Linked DNA regions of Canis lupus familiaris. The protein of the gene in region 1 purifies or fractionates together with the protein of each later gene. This does not show direct contact. Links are inferred from orthologs where the notes say so. Each region holds a gene or a part of one and is shown in the gene's direction. Other genes may lie near its edges.

Region 1 (3,500 bases):
TAAATAAATAATTTTAAAAAAATAAAAAATAAAAAAAGACTTAGGGCATCTATGCGCATGTGGGGGTGAGGGGCAGAGGGAAAGGGAGGGAGAGAATCCCAAGCAGACTCCCTGCTGAGTGCTGAGCTTGGAACCCTCACCAGGCTCGATCCCACCACCCTGATGTGGATGCTGAAGTCCAGGAAGGAGAGGTGGGCCAGATGGGTAGCTGGCTGGGACAGGAGGGCCATGTCCATTCTTCCCACCCAGCTCCCTCTGGCCTGTTCTTTCTGCTTGCTCTCCCTGGGACTGGCACATTGTGTTTTGAAGCATCCCCTCTGACCCCTTTGGGTCTAAGTGACAATTTTTTTTTTTTTTTAAGATTGTCATTTTTACGTAGTCTCTACACCCAATCTGGGACTCGAACTTGTAACTCTAAGATTAAGAGTCACACACTCAACAGACTGAGCCACCCAGGCGGTCCTGGGTGAGAATGTTTTTAACATTGCTGGGACACTCCCAAGGACTTATGGATTTCTTAATAATTAAAGCAGAGGTTCCCAAACTTTCTTGCTTCGCAGCCCTTAGTGTCAGAAATTTTTCATGGTACCTCAGGCCAAAACAAGTACATTAAAGCTCCCTTTAGGTCAAACAATAGTGGGTTTTTTTTTTAAGATTTTATTTATTTATTCATGAGAGACAGAGAGACAGAGAGAGAGAAAGGCAGAGACACAGGCAGAGGGAAAAGCAGACTTCATGCAGGGAGCCCGACGTGGGATTCCATCCCGGGTCTTCAGGTCAGCCATGGGCTGCAGGCAGCGCTAAACCGCTGAGCCCCCACCCCCCCTGCCCAAAAGGTAGTGTTCAACCTAACAACTTAGTGGTCATTTGAATAACAATGCATATAAGTCAAAGAACCTTTTTCTTCTGTTCTTTTTTTTTTTTTAAGATTTTGTTTATTTATTCATGAGATACACACAGAGAGAGAGGCAGAGACACAGGCAGAGGGAGAAGCAGGCTCCATGCAGGGAGCCTGATGTGGGACTCGATCCCAGGACTCCAGGATCACACCCTGGGCCAAAGGCAGACATTCAACCGCTGAGCCACCCAGGGATCCCTTTTTCTTCTGTTCTTAACCATAATTCCTAACGGGATGTATGCCTCCTTGGGCACTGCACAATTCTCAAATTTTGAAATCCAGCTGGACATCCTCACCTGCTCCACACTTCCCCCCTAAAGTACTTTTATCACAGCACCCTCCAGAAACGTAGCTCCATGAAGATCTGTGGAAAGAATGGAGCACAAGCTAATGCTGAAACTGAGCTCTTTTGAGCAAGTAGTTTCTGTGATGCCCCACAAGATAGCCATCACTGCTGCTTCCCTCAAATGTCAAACACCCTGCGGCGCCCTGCTGAGTCCTCAGGGGTGCCCCAGAGTGCTTCCGCTCACAGCTTGGGAGCCAGAGAGTTAAAGACATTTGCTAGTACAAGTCCTGTTGGTGAACTCCAGCTCAGGTTCAGAGCTGGAAACACTGACAAAGAGTCAAAGTTTATGCGAGTTGATTAACCAAACCAGATATTCTGTAACCAGAAGACATTTTCCACTGATAGGCGAAAGTCCAAAAGCCCAAAAGCCCCACATCGGCAGAGCTCCTGCCAAGTCAGCACGTCTCCAAGCAAAGCTCTGCCAGGCAGGTCCTGACTGGTTTCTTCCAGGCTGGTTTTGCTGCCACTGGCGCCCCCTGCTGGTACCTCTCAAAGCTAAGTCAGGAACGAGCTGCAGCCAGAAAGGACAAGCCTCTGTTAGAATTCCAGGTGTTTAATGAGCCGCCCTTATTTGACCTGAAGTGGACACCTGACATTTCCTGAGCACCCACTGGTTGCCAGGCCTGGTGTTGATTGTTGATTATCATCCCTCCAAGTCCTCCCTCTATGCGGGACCAGATACCACTGTCACCTCCCTTTGCATATGGAAACAGAGCTTAGGGGAAGCAATCTACCTTTGGAAATGGCCAAGCCAGAGTCTGTCTAGGATGTTTGGATCCCAGGCCTATTTCATCCCACCCTGCTGCGCTGGTCCCTGCACAAAGGAGTGGGTGGTCCCTGCGGGAGGAGCCTTGGCCAAGCCACTCCCCCTTAGAAGCTGCTCTTAGGCCAAGATCCTGGGGAAACAGCTGCAAACAGAATAAACAAGCACTACTCCATCTACATAGACATTTTCATCCTCAGGGGAAAAGACAAATAATTGGGAGTTGAGAAAAGCGCTGAGAAGGGTGCTGACAGAGCCAGGATCTTGGCTGCATCAGCTCTGGCTGCAGATAAGATGGAAACCCGGCCTCTGGGGAATAGACACAAATGTTGATAAACAAAAGGTCCCACATCCTAGAAATGGCCTGGCCATTTGGGCTAGGGGAGAAAAAATTCTGTTTTTGGCAGATTTGAGGGTGGGCAGCATGCCAGGGCTCTGGATAGGGTTGTAGTTTTTGTGTGATTCTAATTGTTTCCACACACATCAGCAGTGCAGAACTTTAACCACATACTAGAAGTTGAACATGACCCCCAGGGTACATAGTTTAGTTTCAGGGTCCAGTAGCCCCACCGGGGCCCTGCCTGGCCTCACAGTCAACACGGGAAACATTAGCAGTCTCTGCAGGGAGCACCGAGGGTCCTGCCAGGATGCCAGGGAAATGGCCCCAGGCCCTCACGCTGACTCACAAAGACCTCTGGGCCCTGCCAGGTGCGCATCGAAGTGTTCCGGGCAGAGGAGTTGATGGCGTGTGCGGGATTGACCTCACCCAGAATCGTCCCTTTGTATGGAGCTGTGAAGGAAGGTCCTTGGGTCAACATCTTCATGGAACTGCTGGAAGGTAAGGAGCCAGGCGCCACTCTTCCCCCGTCATAGTTCAGAGCCAAGACTTGGGGTTTCCCCACGTCTTGCCCAGGTTGACCTTGGTCCCTAGTAATTCCATTTTTTAATCTTCTGACCCTGTGACATGGCCAGGAAAGGCCTCCTTTCCACCAGCTGCCCTTCAAAGGCCTTTGCCCTTGGCCTGCCTGCAGACCTGGAAATGCCCCACATAAAGTCTGGCCGTTGGTCTCCTAGGTGGCTCGTTGGGTCAGCTCATAAAGCAGAAGGGCTGTCTGCCAGAGGACCGGGCCCTTTACTACCTAGGCCAGGCTCTAGAAGGGCTGGAATACCTCCACTCTCAAAGGATTCTGCACGGAGATATCAAAGGTGAGGCTCATGCCCCGACCGCCCTGGTCCCCAGCTAGCTCCTCTCTTACCTCATCCTGCCTGATTTCCTCGTGGATCTGGGCCTGCCTGGCCATTCCCTGGGGCAGGGCCTGAGTCCGGCCTACAGGGCTATGCTGGTGGGACGGGGAAGTGTGCTGACCAAGCCCTCAGCCTGACACCATAGCTGCCAGTGGCAGATCCAGCTCCTATAGGCCCATGACCACTGGGAGAAGGCAGGGGGACAGTAGAGCTGAGTGGCAGCAGCCCCAGGAGTAAACTCTGTCCCT
Region 2 (2,552 bases), on another chromosome or scaffold:
CTCCTGTCCGCAGCCTCCCCCTGAAGGGACGTTGCTGTGGCTGTGGCGGTGCCCCCGGTGGCCCCGGGCCTGTCCACCCCGCCGCCGCGTCCGCTCACCGTTTACACCCTCCACATAGATACACAGAAGTTATTTTTTTAATGGATATTTATTTTTCTACATTGGTCAGTACCCAGACTGCGGCCCGGGCCCCACTGCAGGGCTGTGCGGGCGGCGCTGGGACCGCCCCGGGGGAGGGGCGCTGCCCCGTGGGTCCTTCCGAAAGGGCAGCTGAGTCTTGCAGACGAACACTGAGCCACGCCCGCCTCCCTGGGACGCGGCTTGGGGCCGGGCCGAGGCCCCTGGAGGTGTAGTGTCCGCGGGCCGGGGCTCGCTTCTCAAGGACGGAAACGTGTCCCCGCTTCCCCCGATGCTGACGGGCCCCGGGACGGCGGCCGGACCCGGCCCGACCCCGGGGCGCCCGCGGCGGACCTGGGCGCGGAGGCTGGGCCTCGGGGCAGCTGGGCCCGCAGCCCCGGCCTCCCCAGGAGGGGAGCGGCCACGCTAGGCCGCGGCAGGCCCCGGGGGCGCGGTGCACCGGGCGGGTGGCCTCCGTGCTGCAGGCGTCCCGGGGGGGGGGGGGGGGCCTGGGCAGCAGCTCGGGGTCCGACGTCCTTAGCTTTAAGGGCTCCAGGGGCGCGGAGTGGGCTCCCCCGCCGCCCGCCCCCCGCCCCGCCCCCGCGCCGGAGCCCCGGCTGCCGGCTCAACCTGCCGGGCCGCGCCCGGGGCCTTGCATGCCAAACGTGTGGTCTTTTTCTTTCTCCGATGATTTGTAATATGCATTTTATGACTGGAAACTTTTTGTACGACGCTCCAATAAACGTTTTGGTTTTAAGTGCTGCCCCCGAGTCCGCGGTGACGCGGCGGCCCCGCCCGGCGGGAGGGGAGGGTCGGAGACCCCGGGGCGGCCCGCGCTGTCGCTCACGTGATGCGCTGTGCGCATGCGCGGCGGCACCCGCTGTGCGACTCGAGGACGTCCCGGGCGGCCCTCGAGCCTCCCACCCGCCGCCGCCGGCTCGCTCGGGGGGCCGCACGGCCTTGTGGGAGTTGTAGTCCAACTCGGCTCCACGCCCAGACTCCATTTCCCGTGATGCCCCGGGCGGCCGACTTCCGGCGTGGGTACGGATCGGCGCACGCGGTGTCGGTTCGGTTGATTTTGCGGAGCCATGGAGGGTGGCTTCGGGTCGGATTTCGGGAGCTCCGGCGGCGGCAAGCTGGACCCGGGGCTCATCATGGAGCAAGTGAAGGTGCAGATCGCCGTGGCTAACGCACAGGAGCTGCTGCAGGTCCGGGGCCAGGCCGGGGCGGGCGCCGTGGGCGGTGGGGTCCACGGGGGTGGGTGTCGCGGCTGAGCTCGCGTGTCCCCACAGAGGATGACGGACAAGTGCTTCCGGAAATGCATCGGGAAGCCGGGGGGCTCCCTGGACAACTCCGAGCAGGTGAGTCCGGCGGGGCGGCGGGGAGCAGCTGCGCGTGCGCGGGCCGGGGGGCGGTCGCGGCGGGACCAGTGCGCGTGCGCAGCCCGCTGCCCGGGGAGGGGGCGCGGGGCGCCGGGCGCGGGCGGGGCGGGGCGGGAGCTGAGGCGCGCCCTCCCCGCCTGCAGAAGTGCATCGCCATGTGCATGGACCGCTACATGGACGCCTGGAACACCGTGTCGCGCGCCTACAACTCGCGGCTGCAGCGGGAACGAGCCAACATGTGACCCCGGGGCGCCGCGCCCGGCCCCCTCCCCTCACTCTGTTTCCATAAAAGCCCTTTGCGAGGCGGGGTCCGCCCGTGCGTCCTGCCTGCGCGTGCTTGTGAGACCGGCCGGCGAGCGCGGCGGGGGCCCGGGGGCCCGGGGGCCCGGGGGCCCGGGACTTGGAGCGGCGGCACGGCCCCTGCTGTGGCCAGGCCCACCTCGGCCTCGAGCGGAGAATGCGCATTTGGACCTGGGGGTGCGGTCGCCTCCTACCCCCACCCTCGAGCTGTGACCTCTGACGGTGGACGGACGAATAAAAGGGGCGGAGAGAAGCCGGGCGCTGTTTCCTGCGGGGCTCTGCGGGCGGTGGTCGCGCGCGTCCCCGGGGGGCCCCCGGCAGCCCCTCGGGGCGGGGGACGGGGCAGGGGCCCCTGCTACGGCGCGGAGGTGCGGAGCCAGAGGCAGGGGCACGGGCACGGGCACGGCCGTTTATTGCAACAAGGTTGGCGGGGACGCCGCCCGCAGCCCCCTCCCCCGCGCGGCCGGCCCCGCCGCCTCCTCCTGGCCCCGGGCGGCGGCCGCGGCGGTCACTCCTGGACGTGCTGCCCGATCCAGCCCCGCACGGCGGCCACCCGCGTGTAGACGCCCGGGAAGTGCGGCCGTCCGCAGCCGTAGCCCCAGCTGGTGACCCCCGTCAGCACCCAGCGGCCCGACGGCTCCCTGCAGGCCAGCGGTCCCCCGGCGTCACCCTGGGCGAGAGGCGAGGCCTGAGCGCGGGCCGCCGCCGGCCGGGCCCCGGGAGGCGGCTCCGGGAGGGCGGTTGGGCGCGGGC
Region 3 (3,143 bases), on another chromosome or scaffold:
CACCAGTACCTAGACAGGCGTCACCCCAGAACCTGGGGACCCCTGGCCTGCTGCACCCCCAGACCTCACCCCTGCTGCACTCATTAGTGGGTCAACATATCCTGTCTGTCCAGCAATTCACCAAGGATCAGGTGCCTGGGGGAGGGAGGATGGGGCCACCCAGAGCTTTGAGAATCTGAAAAGTTGGGGTAGGACCTCTGAGGGCCACTGCCTTTCCAGCTGACTTTGAGGGTCTTTCTTAGATGTCTCACCTGTTCAATGTGGCACACACGCTGCGTATGATGGTACAGAAGGAGCGAAGCCTCGACATACTCAAGGTCAGGGTCAGGGCTGTGGGTTATGGGTCCAGGATCCTGTCAGCAGGGATCTCCCTCTTCCACAGGAGGTCCCTTCATGTAAATCTAAATGCTCTACAATGTGTTACTTAGCTTTCTCTACTCTGGAAGGTTCTGTTACCCTAGGCACCCCTCAGCCCCCATGTCTGGTCTCTGAGTATTTAACTGACTTATAAGGCCCTGAGAGCCAGTGTATCAGCCTGATCTGGTCATTTGGTCTATGAATATGTATTCACGGGATAGAACTGGGGTGTTTCCTTCATCCCCAGAGAATGAGAGTATCTCATTCAAATACCTAGTAGTGGTTTCTTTGGAGGTGGAGCCTTTAACTCAGCGTGACACTGATGGAAATGTCAAGGTTAGGACAGGTCACGAGGAGGTTTGCAGGGAGAGGTTCCCTCCTGTGTAAGTCGGGGAAGCAAGCAGCAGCCTGTGCTTTCCCCAGGATGAACACACCCATGTTCACTTTGAGTCTTGCCCTCCCGCCAGGGGAAGGTAATGGCCTCCATGTTCTACGAGGTGAGCACACGCACCAGCAGCTCCTTTGCTGCAGCCATGGCCCGGCTGGGGGGCGCTGTGCTCAGCTTCTCAGAAGCCACATCTTCGGTCCAGAAGGGTGAATCCCTGGCTGACTCAGTGCAGACCATGAGCTGCTATGCCGACGTCGTCGTGCTTCGGCATCCCCAGCCTGGAGCAGTGGAGGTGAGGCAAGCTACACACTGGAACAGGGTTCATGAGGATGGATCTAGGGACATGACTGCAAGTCTCTGTCTGGGCCAGACAGGGAAGGGGACCCAGGAAGAGTGGGGCTTGGGCAAGGAGCGGGGGCCACTGAGATGCAGAAGACAAGGTTCTCCTTTCTTGTTCTCATGTTCACAGCTGGCAGCCAAGCACTGCCGGAGGCCAGTGATCAATGCTGGGGATGGGGTTGGAGAGCATCCCACCCAGGCCCTGCTGGACATCTTCACCATCCGGGAGGAGCTTGGGACTGTCAATGGCATGACGGTGAGGGTAGTGGGTCAGGGTTAGAGGCCTGCCAGGGGTAGGTCTGGAGAGTGAGGCAGCTGGGAAGTACCTTCTCTGCTCCAAAGCATGCTGCATGCAGCAAGGGGGCCTATATCCTGGTCCTGAGTCTGAAAGCTTTGAAGCGGGAGGGCAGGTGCTTGATCTGAGGGCCCTCTTGGTGATTGGCTTCCTCCCCTAGATCACAATGGTGGGGGACCTGAAGCATGGACGCACAGTGCATTCTCTGGCCTGCCTGCTCACCCAGTACCGTGTCAGCCTGCGTTATGTGGCCCCTCCCAGCCTGCGCATGCCATCCAATGTGCGGGCCTTTGTGGCGGCCCGTGGCACCAAGCAGGTGAGCCCAGGAGGCCATGAGGGACATGGTTTGGGCAGTGAGAGCCTGGCACTGCATTCACTCTGGTTCTGCCTCACCCTCCAGGAGGAATTTGAGAGCATTGAGGAAGCCCTGCCCGACACTGATGTGCTCTACATGACTCGAATCCAGAAGGAACGCTTTGAGTCTAGCCAGGAGTATGAAGCTGTGAGTGCCGCGGTTGAGGGGAGGCCGGGGCTGGAGCTTCGAGGCATCCAAATTAGTGGATGGGACGGCTGGAAGCTTGATCAGGCCTCTTGGTTGTGATAACCATGTGTGGCTGTGGAAGGGATCCTGGAGGAATCCAGGCTTATGGCCACACAGCCACCCCAGCCCTGAGACACTGACATGGCCCCTGTCTGCCTCACAGTGCTTTGGCCAGTTCATCCTCACTCCCCACATCATGACACGGGCCAAGAAGAAGATGGTGGTGATGCACCCAATGCCTCGAGTCAATGAGATCAGGTGACATGACTTTAGAATTGAGGCTACACTGGGGGTGGGCACCTGGTCTAAGACAGTCCATCTTGTGGGCTGTGTGCTAACCATTGTCCTTCTCTTGCAGTGTGGAGGTGGACTCAGACCCCCGAGCAGCCTACTTCCGCCAGGCCGAGAATGGCATGTACATACGCATGGCTCTGTTAGCCACTGTGCTGGGCCGCTTCTAGGGCTTGACTCCTCAGATTCTTCTTGTCAGGCCCAGCTGCTGGGCATGAAATCGGTGCCCCCCACGGGGGCAGCACACTTAGGAGATGCTCTGGGGCGTCCAGATAGCTCATGTGCCCATATGCACATCTGCAGACCACGTGTCAGGCACTGGACTGGACTGGAGTGTTCTAGCATGGGGGTGGGGCCCCGTCTCCCTTAATGTACCGCAAACCTGTAAAGTCATTTTTCTACTGACTAAATAAACAGCTAAGCTGCTTGTAAGTGCCTGCTTCCTCACATGTATCCTGGCTTCAGCAGAGGATGCTAGTTTAATGGGCAGGACTTTCTTCTGGAACTTGAGAACGGTTTCCCAAATCCAAGAGCAGCCTTACTGGGCAGGCTCTTGCTTTGGCCAGGGCCAAGCAGCCAGGCTCAGCATTTTCAGAGCCGTGGCTCTCTGGGGTCTGGGCAGGAATGTGCTGTTCTGTTGGTGCGGAGTCCTGTGCTGCACTGAGCCATAGCCCACTGTCTTTCCTCAATAAATTTGCACTCAAAATTCTGATGCAAGTTACAGGGTACTATCTGGCAAGGCCTTTCCTCTTCTTCCCTCTGTGGTCAGTCCTTTTCTTCAGTGGTTGAGGTGGCCCTTGTGTCCTCAAAACCTGGCCTTGGAATTCACGTGCCGTCACTGTTAGGAGCCCCTCCTACCTACTATCCCTGGGAGCCTCTGGCTGACACTGGACTTCCCAGACTGGACCAGGGGCACAGGGGCAGATGCCATG
Region 4 (3,931 bases), on another chromosome or scaffold:
TCTCTATGTCTATCATAAATAAATAAATCTTTTTTAAAAAATCTTTAAAAAAAAAAAAAGGTCACGGGCAAATTGCTTGAAAAATCAAACAGGGCAGCCCAGGTGGCTCAACGGTTTAGTGCCGACTTCGGCCCACGGCCTGATCTTGGAGACTCGGGATCGAGTCCCATGTCGGGCTCCCTGCATGGAGCCTGCTTCTCCCTCTGTCTGTGTCTCTGCCTCTCTCTCTCTCTCATAAATAAATTAAAAATCTTAAAAAAAAAAAAAACTGAAACAAAAGCCTGTGTTCTACCAGGACTCCACCTATCACAGATATTCAGCCTCAGAGTCAGTATTTTATGAAGTCCAGTGCTGATCTTGTTGCCACTGAAAGTGTTCAAGCGGGGTTGGAAGCTCTATAAAAGGTTATTTCCTACATTGGAGGAAGTTCGAACCGTTTAAGATTTTGGATGCCTTTTCAATTCTAATATTCCAAATCTCCGTGATGGATGAGCAAGATCTGAGTCTCCAAGATGAACACCTCATTTACCTTCCCTGGCGCAGAGAGCCGGAGCTCAGATCTAGAAGTCTCCCTCTGTGACCTTGCCATTTATACAATAAGTTTCAGGTTCAGATGCTCTCTTCGAAGGGAGACGGAGTTGAGACAACACGAGAGGATTACCGAGTCTCCGTGCGCCTCCACCAGGGGCCGCCAGATGGCGCCCCGGGACCAACTGCGAGATCAACTTCCTTCCTCTTCCCCCAACTCTTCCCGGCAGCGGGGGCCCCGCTCCGGGCTGGGGACCCGAGGCCTGGGGCCCCCCAGCTTCCCTCTGGGGTTCCCCGGCTTCAGAAGTGGGCAAGAGTTAGGCGCAGCATGAGCCGAGTAGCAGCAGGGACTGCCAGCTGTCTGGGGGCTGGCGGGGCGGGTAAAGAGACCGGAGCCGGGGCCCTTGGCCGGGAGATGGCGCCCGGTCAGCGAATCCAGCCTGCGACAGGTCCCCCTGCCAGAGCCCTAGCAGTAGCGGCCCGTCATCCTACCTCCCGACTCCTCCGCCTGAGCTAGTATCTCCCCTCTAGGGGCGTGCGTGAGTCGCTCCGGATTGGCTGCACGAGTCCGGAGTTAAACTTTCAGCCAATGAAAAAGGGCACGGGGCGTGACGCACGGAAACGTCACGGGAATTCCCCCCTCCCGGGGGTGGAAAAGGGGCTTTCCCGGCTGGAGCCTGGGTGGCTGTGGAGAAGTGTCGCGACCCGTCCGAGGTGGGTCGGGCCGGAGAGAAGCCGGAACCGGAGCCGCCGCCGCGGTGAGTGGCCGGGACACGGGGAAGGGCGGAAGGAGGGCCCTTAACTAACCGAGGCTCAGGGCTGGAGAGCGGTATCTGCAAGCACACACAGGACGCACACGAACAAGACGTACGGATACTCATCGACATCCTTGTACAAAAAAACAAAACAAAACACGCGGACCCATACGTGCACCTACGCGTATGCGAACGAGTGCACAGCACTGTCCATGCATTCAGACTCGCGCACACGCAAACATGCTCACCCGTGCACAGGTGCCTGGACCCATATCCTTCACGCACGAACTCCTATGTTCACCTGTGCCCTTACATATCAAAACACGCTCAGACGCGTCCACACTGAGAAGTTCACAGACGCTCACCTGCACACAGCCTTGCTCACTGGTACATGCATACTGACACCACGCAAGCACATGGGACGACGCACACTATGCCTGTGATACACACACACGGCCATGGGCCTGGGGCAGGGGGCGTGGGCACCCGGAGCAGGTGCGGTGTGGGAACCCAATGACTGCTGAGATGTTTCGGGGAGAGGCAACAGAAGGGCCCGTCCCAAGAAGGAGACCCTGTTCCTCCCCCCGCCCCACGGCCCCAGAGTCCGTTCTCGGGGCAGAACCCCGGGGGCCCCCGCTGGGAAGAGCCCCCGCCTACAGGCCTTCGGAAAGGAGGCCTTCCTACAGCAGGAATGTCCCCCCAAAAGCCCCCGGGTGAATCAGCCGTGGCCTCCCTCAGGGTAGAAAATCCCAAGGTTGCTCCAGGACAGGGGAGGGGGAGGGGGCGGGAGGCGGGCCTCGCCCCGACCTAAGAGCGTCCCCCACCTTTGAAAGGCCCTCCAGCCCCCCGCACCTGCCCTGGGACGAGGAAGGGGGCCCAATCACCAGGGGCGCCTCCCTGGGTCTGGCTGCCCCTCTGCCCTCAGAGCCGCTGCAAGCTCGGAGGCCGCCGCCGACCTCGCGCCCCTCCCGCCGCGGGGGCGGGGCCAGTGGCGTCATTTCCAGGCCCGCCCCCTCCGGCCCCGCCTCCCCCTGGTATTTTCGGGACTTTCCTAAGCTGTTCTAACTTTCCTGCCGCTTCCCCGGCCCTGCCCAGCCCAGCTCCGGATCTCGCGCTCTGCCGGATCTCGCCCGCCACACCCGGACGGGTGGCTGGAAGAGATCAGACCCTCCCCCAAATCTGGGGCCCACTCGCCCCCCCCTCGTGTCCTGATCTGTCTCTCCCTCCCACCCCCCGTCACTCCCCCCCGCCCCCACCTAAGGCGGGCGCCTGAAACACTCTGGGAAACAGAACCTGGCCGGAGCCACCAGACAGAGCCGGGCCTAGCCCAGAGACATGGAAAGTTGCTACGACCCAGTGAGTCACGCCTCCTGGCCCTAAAACCGGCCGGCTGCCCCCCATGTCTGTCTGTCTGTCTGCCTGTCTGTCGGAGTCCCCTCTGCCCCCCTACACCTGTAATGCCCTCTGATTATCTCAACCTGCTTGTCAGTCTGCCTGCCTGTCTGCAAACTTTTTCCAAGAGGAGCTTTTTATGGGTCTGGGGAGGAAAGGGAGTGGCTACCCAGGGCTGGGAAGTGGAAGGCTCTCCGGTGTCTCAGATTCAGTTGCCACCCTAATCTGTTTCCAAACCAGGGTCTGGATGGCATGATTGAATATGATGATTTCAAATTCGACCCGTGCATTGCAGAGCCCAAGGAGCCAGCCCCAGAGACAGGTTAGTGAGTTCCTTAGCTCCCCTTGTCCTAGAGAGGGGGGAGGGAGGAGCATGTGCCCTCTGACTGGGGGATGGCCCTGAAATCCTGGCTCAGCAAGGCCCCTTTGTCCCCAGCTGATGGACCCTACTTGGTGATAGTCGAACAGCCTAAGCAGGTGAGTGAATGGAAGGGATGGTGTGGGAGGACTTCGGCTGTAGGGACCAGTGGGGTAGTTGTAGTTGGGTGGCCATGGGGAGGGTCACTGATCACGGAGGCCACTTCGGGTTGAAACGGCTGACTGCTACTGATCACAATGGAGGTGTTGTGGTTCAGGAGAGACACTGCCAATTGTGGTCACTGATGGCTGGGAGTGTGACTGGCTTGGGGGGAAAAGAGGGGTCCCTCCTGTTCACATTGTCAATCTGCCCTGGGACGTTCAGCGAGGCTTCCGATTTCGATATGGCTGTGAAGGCCCCTCCCATGGAGGATTGCCAGGGGCTTCCAGTGAGAAGGGTCGGAAGACTTATCCCACAGTCAAGGTGAGTCAGGATGGTGCTGGATGGAGGGTGGGCTAACAGTGTGTTCAGGAGCATTACTGACAACCCTCACCCCTCCCAGATCTGTAACTACGAGGGACCAGCCAAGATTGAGGTGGACCTGGTAACGCACAGTGACCCACCTCGCGCTCATGCCCACAGCCTGGTGGGCAAGCAATGCTCGGAGCTGGGGGTCTGCGCCGTGTCTGTGGGGCCCAAGGACATGACTGCCCAGTAGGTGCCCCCTCATTGCCTCCCAGTCCTAGGCCCCAGCCTGCCTCTGTGAGTTTAGCATCTGACCAAGGAGAGAGACAGGTTGGCCTCAGAACCCCAGGCCCCAAGTGAAAACCAGGAAGGCTTCCTGGAGGAATGAGGGCTGAGCTGAGGCCTGGCAGTAGAGAGGGTGCCTCAGGAGGAA
Region 5 (3,986 bases), on another chromosome or scaffold:
GAGAACCAGAAGCTTTCTAAAGGGATATAGCTTGAATTTTATGGAGTGTAATTTTGTGTATGAATTATAAAGGATCAAGGGTTTTCATAAGGAAGGCGCTAGTAGGATTAATTACTGGTCCATTGTGTAGAGACAGGTTTATAATATATTGTTATACGTGTGTGATAACACTAGATAACACCAGAAAGAGTAAGCTGTGTCTTGATAAGTTGATTAATCTTTACAAAATGAATGATGTTATAGAAACATGATTTTTTAAGTGAAAGATAGGTTGTTTGATTTTTAAATGCAGTGTTAAAGTTCCTGTTGTGGAAATTTTATGGTTAAGTAGTTGATGGAGAAAATACCTTCAGTTGACCAAGTGTAGTTGATATGCAGAGTGAGGAAGAAACAAATCGTCATGCTGTAGGAAATGGAAACAAGTACAGACAAAGGTGGAAGAGTTAGCAGTTAGCTTTAAGCAAAATTCATATGACATCATACATGCTAAAACAGGCAAGGTTAGGTCTGGAAAGCTGGTGAGTGTTGATACCCTCACATAAATACTGTGGTGATAACCTATGTGAAATTAGCCTTTAGATATTGTGACCATATGAAGAGTTTAATTCTTGTTTGCTGGAATAAAGCCAAGAGTTTTAAAAATATATTGAGGTGCTTGGAAGAGACCTGTGTATACTTTTTCCCACTCGAAGCATAATTGTGATTGGCTTAATAAACAGGTTTTGGAACTTGTAACTAAAAACATATTAACGGTATAATTTAGGTACCTTATTTAGAATTTTGGGAACATCAACCTTCTGAAGAATCAGGCAGTTTTAACATATTTCCGTAAGTGTGCCAATATCTTCTCAGGTCTTTATGTTGATATTACACCAAATAATGAGCAGTTAGCACTTGTTACATAAGAGTTAATCTGAAATAGTGCTAAGTAGTATCCTGGTAATTTAATATCCTGGATTCCAGGTATTATCTCACCTCAGTGTAAACTCTGGCATAAATCCCATAAAGAAGGTGTAGTGAGTTTTACAGAAGTAGGAGCCTGTCATTTGATTCTTTTATATGATAAAAACTAATTTTTTGTGAAGATAGAAGTTTCATGTGAAGGTTTTTAGCCATCAAAAAGTAACATCACTCATGCACAAAACTACTTCCCAAAGACTTGTCCCAGGTTCATATCAGAGGATTAAGAGGACAATGGAGGATAGCACCATCTTACGAAACCAGACAATTGGCAACAAACAAAAAATAAAATATGACTTTTCGTGTGAACTCTATAGAATGTCTACATACTCCACATTCCCGGCGGGTGTTCCCGTCTCAGAGAGGAGCCTGGCCCGCGCAGGCTTCTATTACACGGGTGTGAATGACAAGGTCAAATGCTTCTGCTGTGGCCTGATGCTGGACAACTGGAAGCCTGGAGACAATCCTGTTGAAAAGCATAAACAGCTCTATCCAAGCTGTAGTTTTATTCACAGTCTGGTTTCTCTCACCAGCCGGGATTCCACCTCTAAGAACATTTCTGCAATGAGAAACAGTTTTACACATTCGATATCTCCCACTTTGGAACATGGCTCATTTAGTGGTTCTCATTCCAACCTCGCAGCAAACCCTGTGAGTTCCAGAGCAGGTGAAGACTTCTCCCCACTGAGCACTAACCCCTACAGTTACGCCATGAGCACCGAGGAAGCCAGATTTCTTACTTATCACATGTGGCCGCTAACCTTTCTGTCCCCGTCAGACTTGGCAAGGGCAGGCTTTTATTATATAGGACCTGGAGATAAGGTGGCCTGCTTTGCCTGCGGTGGGACCCTGAGTAACTGGGAACCAAAGGATGACGCGATGTCCGAACACCGGAGACATTTCCCCAACTGCCCGTTTTTGGAAAATTCTCTGGAGACCCTGAGATTTAGCATTTCAAATTTGAGCATGCAGACCCATGCGGCCCGGTTGAGAACTTTCGTGTACTGGCCATCTAGTGTCCCCGTGCGGCCTGAGCAGCTCGCAAGTGCTGGATTCTATTACGTGGGTAAGAAACTAAGGTGTAGTGTATGATTTATCAGGTTCGCTTTGTTGAACATATCAGAACATGTATTTCAGTTCAGTCTTGTTTTCTTTAGGTCGCAATGATGATGTCAAATGCTTTTGCTGTGACGGTGGACTGCGGTGTTGGGAGTCTGGAGATGACCCATGGGTGGAGCACGCCAAGTGGTTTCCCAGGTAATTGCTTTGAAAGGTATTTCCACACAAAACTGCTTTCCAAAAGTAGGTCTGCTTGCAGGGTTCATGTTTACATCTCTGTGTAGCAAAGATGCTTTTATGCCTGTGGGGACTTGGTCTTTTAAAACACCAAATCTGGGGCATCTGGCTGGCTCAGTCGGAGGAGATTGTGACTCTTGCTCTCGGGGTTGTGAGTTTGAACCCCACATTGGGTGTGGAGGTTATTCTTTAAGATAAAAACTGAAAAAAATACACTGAATTTTTATTTTGATAAAAATGTTTTAGTATTCTCTTTTCTTTTGTAAGCTGTGTATTCAGGATATAATTTAATTTATTTATTTTTAAGATTTATTTATTTGAGAGAGAGAGCACTAGATGGGGCGGGGACAAGCAGACTTGATGTGGAGCTGGATCTCAGGACCCCGAGATCGTGACCTGATCACAGTCAGATACTTAACTGACTGAGCCACCCAGGTGCCCCTAATTTAATTTATTGATATTCATTTACAATTATGGCCATATGTTTTATCTGTAGGGTTCCCCTTTTGCCTTAAAGAAATTGTAAGGATTACAAAGGTGTGTAAAATAACATGAAAGAGCAGCCCGGGTAGCTCGGCGGTTTAGTGCCCCCTTCAGCCCAGGGTGTGATCTTGCAGACCGGGATCGGGTCTCAGGTCAGGCTCCCTGCATTGAGCCTGCTCTTCCCTCTGCCTGTGTCTCTGCCTCTCTCTCTCTGTCTCTCTCTCTCTCTCTGTCTGTCTCGCATGAATAAATAAATAAATCTTAAAAAGAAAAAAGTACATTGGAAAAAAGGGAAGAGGAGAAAAAGCGACATAAAATGATCTAGGAAAAGGCAAATACAAAAATGCATATAATGAAAGCTGATTAAGTCTGATTATAATTATGTTATTTTTTCTGTACAGTTAATCTTGTGATTGTCACTCATCTTTTCTTAGTCACTGTGTCTCTAGCAGTAGGTCCTGTTTTCCACTGTACCCCACAAAGAATTGAGAGGCAGTATTGTTTGTGGAAGTAGAATTAGAAATTCATTTTTGAGAAGCTTTGTGAACTTGGACATGTCGTGTGACCCATTTGAAACTCTGTCCTCCTTTGTATAGTGAGGGGGTTAGACTAGGTAATTTTTTAAATTGTGGTAAAAAATACCTAACAAAATTTACCGTTTTAACCATTTTTAAATTTCTCCTTCTGTATGTACTTCTCTGCATTCACATTGTTCCTCAGTCATCACCACCAGACTTTCCTGTCATCCCAAGCATAGCTTGTACTCCTCACATGGCTCCCCGTCACCCCCACAGCCATGGTTCTTCTGCATTTCACCAGGTGCCTCATAGGAGTGCAGTTGAGCAGGACAATGTCCTGACCTGAGTGCCTTTCATAAGAATGAGGAATCTCTTGAACACCTTCAGGAAATTAAAACATCCTTTTGTCTTTTTTTTTTTTTATGATTTAAGATAAAGGAACTTGAAGTAAGAACTATTTTGAGTCAGTACATTGTTAAAAGTTGTGTTTTGGAACGCCTGGGTGGCTCAGCGGTTGAGCATCTGCCTTTGGCTCAGGGCGTGGTCCTGGGGTCCTGGGATTGAGTCCCACCCACATCAGGCTCCCTGCATGGATCCTGCTTTTCCCTCTACCTGTGTCTCTGCCTTTCTCTCTCTCTCTCTCTCTCTCTCTCTCTTTCTCTCTGTCTCTCATGAATAAATAAATAAAATCTTTAAAAAAAAAAGTTGGGTTTTAAAATTTTATCTTTA
Region 6 (3,500 bases), on another chromosome or scaffold:
TACTGCGTGCCTGACTCTGCTCAAACTTGGAGATACAGCCTCAGAGAAGGCCCAGAAGTGAGTGAGTGAACCACTCTGGGGCCAGTGGCCAGGATGGTGACGCTAACAGCGGAATGTGTTCATTACGTAGGACTGCGTGCAGTTTCCTGGGAGTAACTCCTTTGATGCTGCGTTTTTCCCAAAGAGGAACTAACTCCAAGGCTAGAAGTGTTTAAGTGTCTTAGCCAAGGTCACGTCACCAGTACGCGGTGGAGCTGGGTGATGTGACAGTGCGGTAACAACCACTCCCAGGTATTGAGCATGTGCTCTGGGTTGGAAATTGATGGAAACACTCGAAGTATGCTTTCTTGTTTGAGCCCCAGAATGGTCAAGAGAGAGAGAGAGATTGTCCCCTTGGATAGTAATGGCAGTCGCCACCACGGGAATGGTGCTTGCCGAGCATCCAGCATGGCTCTGGACTGTCTACTTTGACTTAAATCTCCTTTGCTTCTCCTGGTGCCGCTCGGTGAGGTCGGTACTGTTGTCTGCCTTTGACAGATGAGGAAACGGAGGTCCCTAGAGGTCAGGGGATTGACCCAAGGACCCCAGCCTATACTCAGTAGCCACGGCTTATGACTCCACATCTGGGGCCCTGAGGCTGTTCTCCAGTGTCTTATCATGCTGTCTGATGATCTTAAAGGGGGCTTTGAGGCACAGTGATGGGGAATGGGGGGCCCTTGGGGAAGGCTCTGTAGAAGCTGAGACCTGGGGCCAAAGGACATGGAGTGAGAGGAAGAGAGTTCCAGGTAGAAGGAGCAGCCTTTGCAGAGTCCAAGAGTCAAGAGCGAGCTGGTGCATTTGGGATCTGCCTGCAACCTAGAATTGGGAAAGGAGAATGGGACCCTGGCCCCCTGGGGCCTTGGTGCCACTTGGGCAGCTTGGAGTAAGGCTTTGGGATCCCATCTGAGCGTAGACGCTCCAGGTTGGGGTGGCAAGAAGGGCTGCAGACAGATGTGCGAATTTCCAAGACTGGCAGTCTAGCTTGGAACAGCTGTGGAAGGTGGTGGCACCTCTCAGGGCTCAGTCAGGGGCTTTGGATTGAGCAGGCACTGCTGAGAGCTGGGGGAGATGATGGAGCAAAGCAAGGGTGGAGGACAGACAGGGCCATGTCATGTTGTAGAGAGTCTTGTGGGGACCGGAGCGAGAGGGGGAACGAGGGCACCATCTGAACTTGGGGTGCAACAGCAGAGGAGGTCTGGGGAGCAACAGCTGGGGTAGGGGGGACAGGAGGCCGGTGGGCACCGAGCTAAGGCTCAGGGTGGGTGTGCTGGCCCGGAGACATAGCTGATGGGGCCTTGGGCAGCCATCCAGGAGTAGTTCTCTGGGTGGACCAAATTGGAGAGACTTCTAGAAGCGAAAGCTGTCAGGACTGGGTAGGAAAGAGGGAGGAAAGGACAGGACCAGTGAACAGGCCTCAGTGGGGGGCATCGGAGGTTGTTGGGCAAGGGAGGGCACCTGAGTGTCACTGAGGGCGGCTCCGGGGAGGACGAGTGGCCTGAGACCCCCATCCAGTATTTCCTTACTTTATTCATCCAACAAGTGTCTCCTGAGCCTTGACTGTGCACTTGTGTGTGAGACACAAGTGAGCAGATCCCCCATCTCTAGGGACCCCACTCCTCAGAGAGGGACAGTGTTGAGAACAGTAAATAATTGTCACCAGGTTGCCACCAGATGCTAGCAGGTAATGAGTGCTGAGGAGGAAGGTGAAACAGGGCACAAGTAAGGGGAGGTTGCCATCTTCATTCAGCAGGGTGGTCAGGGAAGGGCCTCATCTGTAAAGTGATGTTTGAGCCAAGATGGCAAGGATGTGAGGGAGTAAGCTGGTTTGGGTGCCAGTGGGGGGAGTCTGGAGAGAGAACTTTCCAGGCTGGGGCAACAGCTAGTGCAAAGGCCCTGAGTTTAGAAGTGGGTTCAAGAAAAGACAAAGCAGCTACTGTGACTGGAGGGAGGGGGCAGATTGTGCAGGGCCTTGTAGGTCATAGATAGGACTTGGTTTTCTGCTCTGAGTGACATGGATGCCACAGAGCCTTCTGAGCAGGGTTGGGGGTGGACACACACAAAGTAAGGTGTGTGCAGGTATCCTGGTGGGATGGAAGCTGCCCCCCCAGGGGGGCACAGAGGGTGGTGCACACATTCCCTGAGGCCATCCCAGGTGCAGGGGGTGGGAGCCCTGGGTGGGGCAGGGCCGAGGTCAAGGGACCAGCCTTTCCCCGGAGTGCAGGGCTTGTGTCTGCCCGCAGGCCCGGGTGGAGCGCATGGAGCAGTTCCAGAAGGAGAAGGAGGAGCTGGACAGGGGCTGCCGCGAGTGCAGGCGCAAGGTGGCTGAGTGCCAGCGGAAGCTGAAGGAGCTGGAGGTGGCCGAGGGCGAGGGCAGCAAGGTGGAGCTGGAACGGCTGCAGGCCGAGGCTCAGCAGCTGCGCAAGGAGGAGCGGAGCTGGGAGCAGAAGCTGGAGGAGATGCGCAAGAAGGAGAAGAGCATGCCCTGGAACGTGGACACGCTCAGCAAGGACGGTTTCAGCAAGGTGGGAGGGGGCCAGCAGGGTTCCCCCCATGCAGGGGCTGGTGGGGTAGGTGGGGGTAAGGCCTGGACAGCTCAAGGGAGGGACGCCCTGGCATGGAGAGGGTGGAGGGACAGGTGTGGGGCTGGGTGGATGAAGCACCCCACTGGTACCCCCCTCTGATCTGCCCGAAGGCCCTAGTTCGAGGCCACACCTGCCACACCCACGCTCCCGCCACACTGATGCTCATGGCGCCGTCACCACCTCCGCCGTGGAAGGGATGGGCGCTGCGGCCTCGGCCCACCCGGCCGTGCTGGAGGCGCTCTGCGGCCTCGCCCCAGCCCACTCCCCCTCTCGCCCCATCACAGAGCATGGTCAATACCAAACCAGAGCAGGCGGAGGAGGAGTCGGAGGAGGTGAGGGAGCAGAAACACAAAACCTTCGTGGAGAAGTACGAGAAACAGATCAAGCACTTTGGTGAGTTGGGCCGTTGGAGGGGGCCGGCAGGCTAAGGTTAGGAGGTTACACAGGACAGGGGCTGGTCCTCTGCCTCTGGGGCCCCTCAGCACCTTGCCAACACCTTCTCGTAGGCATGCTCCGCCGCTGGGATGACAGCCAGAAGTACCTATCAGACAATGTCCACCTGGTGTGCGAGGAGACAGCCAACTACCTGGTCATCTGGTGCATTGACCTAGAGGTGGAGGAGGTGAGTGGAGTCTACCCCGGGACTAGGGGAAAGCCCTGCCCTGAGGCCACCACTTGGTGACATCCTACCTCTTCTCCCTTGGCAGAAATGTGCACTCATGGAGCAAGTGGCCCACCAGACCATTGTCATGCAGTTCATCCTGGAGCTGGCTAAGAGCCTGAAGGTGGATCCCCGTGCCTGCTTCCGGCAGTTCTTCACTAAGATCAAGGTAGTGTCCCCGAGGAGCCAGGGTCGGGTGGGGTGTGGGCCTCTTCAAG

Evidence for each region.
Region 2: the proteins of MAP3K14 (region 1) and TIMM13 purify together in Homo sapiens (affinity purification with mass spectrometry; 3 studies listed by BioGRID and IntAct, with this or other methods). This does not show direct contact. The link is inferred for Canis lupus familiaris from reciprocal best matches to the Homo sapiens genes MAP3K14 and TIMM13.
Region 3: the proteins of MAP3K14 (region 1) and CAD purify together in Homo sapiens (affinity purification with mass spectrometry; 3 studies listed by BioGRID and IntAct, with this or other methods). This does not show direct contact. The link is inferred for Canis lupus familiaris from reciprocal best matches to the Homo sapiens genes MAP3K14 and CAD.
Region 4: the proteins of MAP3K14 (region 1) and NFKB2 purify together in Homo sapiens (affinity purification with mass spectrometry; 6 studies listed by BioGRID and IntAct, with this or other methods). This does not show direct contact. The link is inferred for Canis lupus familiaris from reciprocal best matches to the Homo sapiens genes MAP3K14 and NFKB2.
Region 5: the proteins of MAP3K14 (region 1) and BIRC2 purify together in Homo sapiens (affinity purification with western blotting; 3 studies listed by BioGRID and IntAct, with this or other methods). This does not show direct contact. The link is inferred for Canis lupus familiaris from reciprocal best matches to the Homo sapiens genes MAP3K14 and BIRC2.
Region 6: the proteins of MAP3K14 (region 1) and CDC37 purify together in Homo sapiens (affinity purification with mass spectrometry; 5 studies listed by BioGRID and IntAct, with this or other methods). This does not show direct contact. The link is inferred for Canis lupus familiaris from reciprocal best matches to the Homo sapiens genes MAP3K14 and CDC37.

Annotation. Positions count from the first base shown.
Region 1 is NC_049230.1:18,175,765-18,179,264, forward strand, and holds part of MAP3K14 (mitogen-activated protein kinase kinase kinase 14), read left to right. Parts: intron 1-1,194; exon of another isoform or gene 1,195-1,755; intron 1,756-2,715; coding exon 2,716-2,845; intron 2,846-3,081; coding exon 3,082-3,213; intron 3,214-3,500.
Region 2 is NC_049241.1:57,135,270-57,137,821, forward strand, and holds TIMM13 (mitochondrial import inner membrane translocase subunit Tim13), read left to right. Parts: upstream 1-1,133; 5' UTR 1,134-1,205; coding exon 1,206-1,325; intron 1,326-1,409; coding exon 1,410-1,478; intron 1,479-1,642; coding exon 1,643-1,741; 3' UTR 1,742-2,052; downstream 2,053-2,552. UniProt on the Homo sapiens protein: Mitochondrial intermembrane chaperone that participates in the import and insertion of some multi-pass transmembrane proteins into the mitochondrial inner membrane.
Region 3 is NC_049238.1:21,284,941-21,288,083, forward strand, and holds the end of CAD (CAD protein), read left to right. Parts: coding exon 1-131; intron 132-242; coding exon 243-317; intron 318-824; coding exon 825-1,037; intron 1,038-1,214; coding exon 1,215-1,340; intron 1,341-1,539; coding exon 1,540-1,695; intron 1,696-1,779; coding exon 1,780-1,881; intron 1,882-2,083; coding exon 2,084-2,178; intron 2,179-2,278; coding exon 2,279-2,381; 3' UTR 2,382-2,643; downstream 2,644-3,143. UniProt on the Homo sapiens protein: Multifunctional protein that encodes the first 3 enzymatic activities of the de novo pyrimidine pathway: carbamoylphosphate synthetase (CPSase; EC 6.3.5.5), aspartate transcarbamylase (ATCase; EC 2.1.3.2) and dihydroorotase (DHOase; EC 3.5.2.3).
Region 4 is NC_049249.1:15,092,336-15,096,266, forward strand, and holds the start of NFKB2 (nuclear factor NF-kappa-B p100 subunit), read left to right. Parts: upstream 1-1,131; 5' UTR 1,132-1,286; intron 1,287-2,544; 5' UTR 2,545-2,618; coding exon 2,619-2,639; intron 2,640-2,915; coding exon 2,916-2,997; intron 2,998-3,111; coding exon 3,112-3,152; intron 3,153-3,417; coding exon 3,418-3,516; intron 3,517-3,595; coding exon 3,596-3,747; intron 3,748-3,931. UniProt on the Homo sapiens protein: NF-kappa-B is a pleiotropic transcription factor present in almost all cell types and is the endpoint of a series of signal transduction events that are initiated by a vast array of stimuli related to many biological processes such as inflammation, immunity, differentiation, cell growth, tumorigenesis and apoptosis.
Region 5 is NC_049226.1:29,451,277-29,455,262, reverse strand, and holds the start of BIRC2 (baculoviral IAP repeat-containing protein 2), read left to right. Parts: upstream 1-1,186; 5' UTR 1,187-1,194; coding exon 1,195-2,026; intron 2,027-2,117; coding exon 2,118-2,217; intron 2,218-3,986. Other genes in the region: proline-rich protein 2-like, read right to left, coding at 348-402. UniProt on the Homo sapiens protein: Multi-functional protein which regulates not only caspases and apoptosis, but also modulates inflammatory signaling and immunity, mitogenic kinase signaling, and cell proliferation, as well as cell invasion and metastasis.
Region 6 is NC_049241.1:51,128,770-51,132,269, forward strand, and holds part of CDC37 (hsp90 co-chaperone Cdc37), read left to right. Parts: intron 1-2,279; coding exon 2,280-2,561; intron 2,562-2,905; coding exon 2,906-3,014; intron 3,015-3,127; coding exon 3,128-3,243; intron 3,244-3,328; coding exon 3,329-3,451; intron 3,452-3,500. UniProt on the Homo sapiens protein: Co-chaperone that binds to numerous kinases and promotes their interaction with the Hsp90 complex, resulting in stabilization and promotion of their activity. Inhibits HSP90AA1 ATPase activity.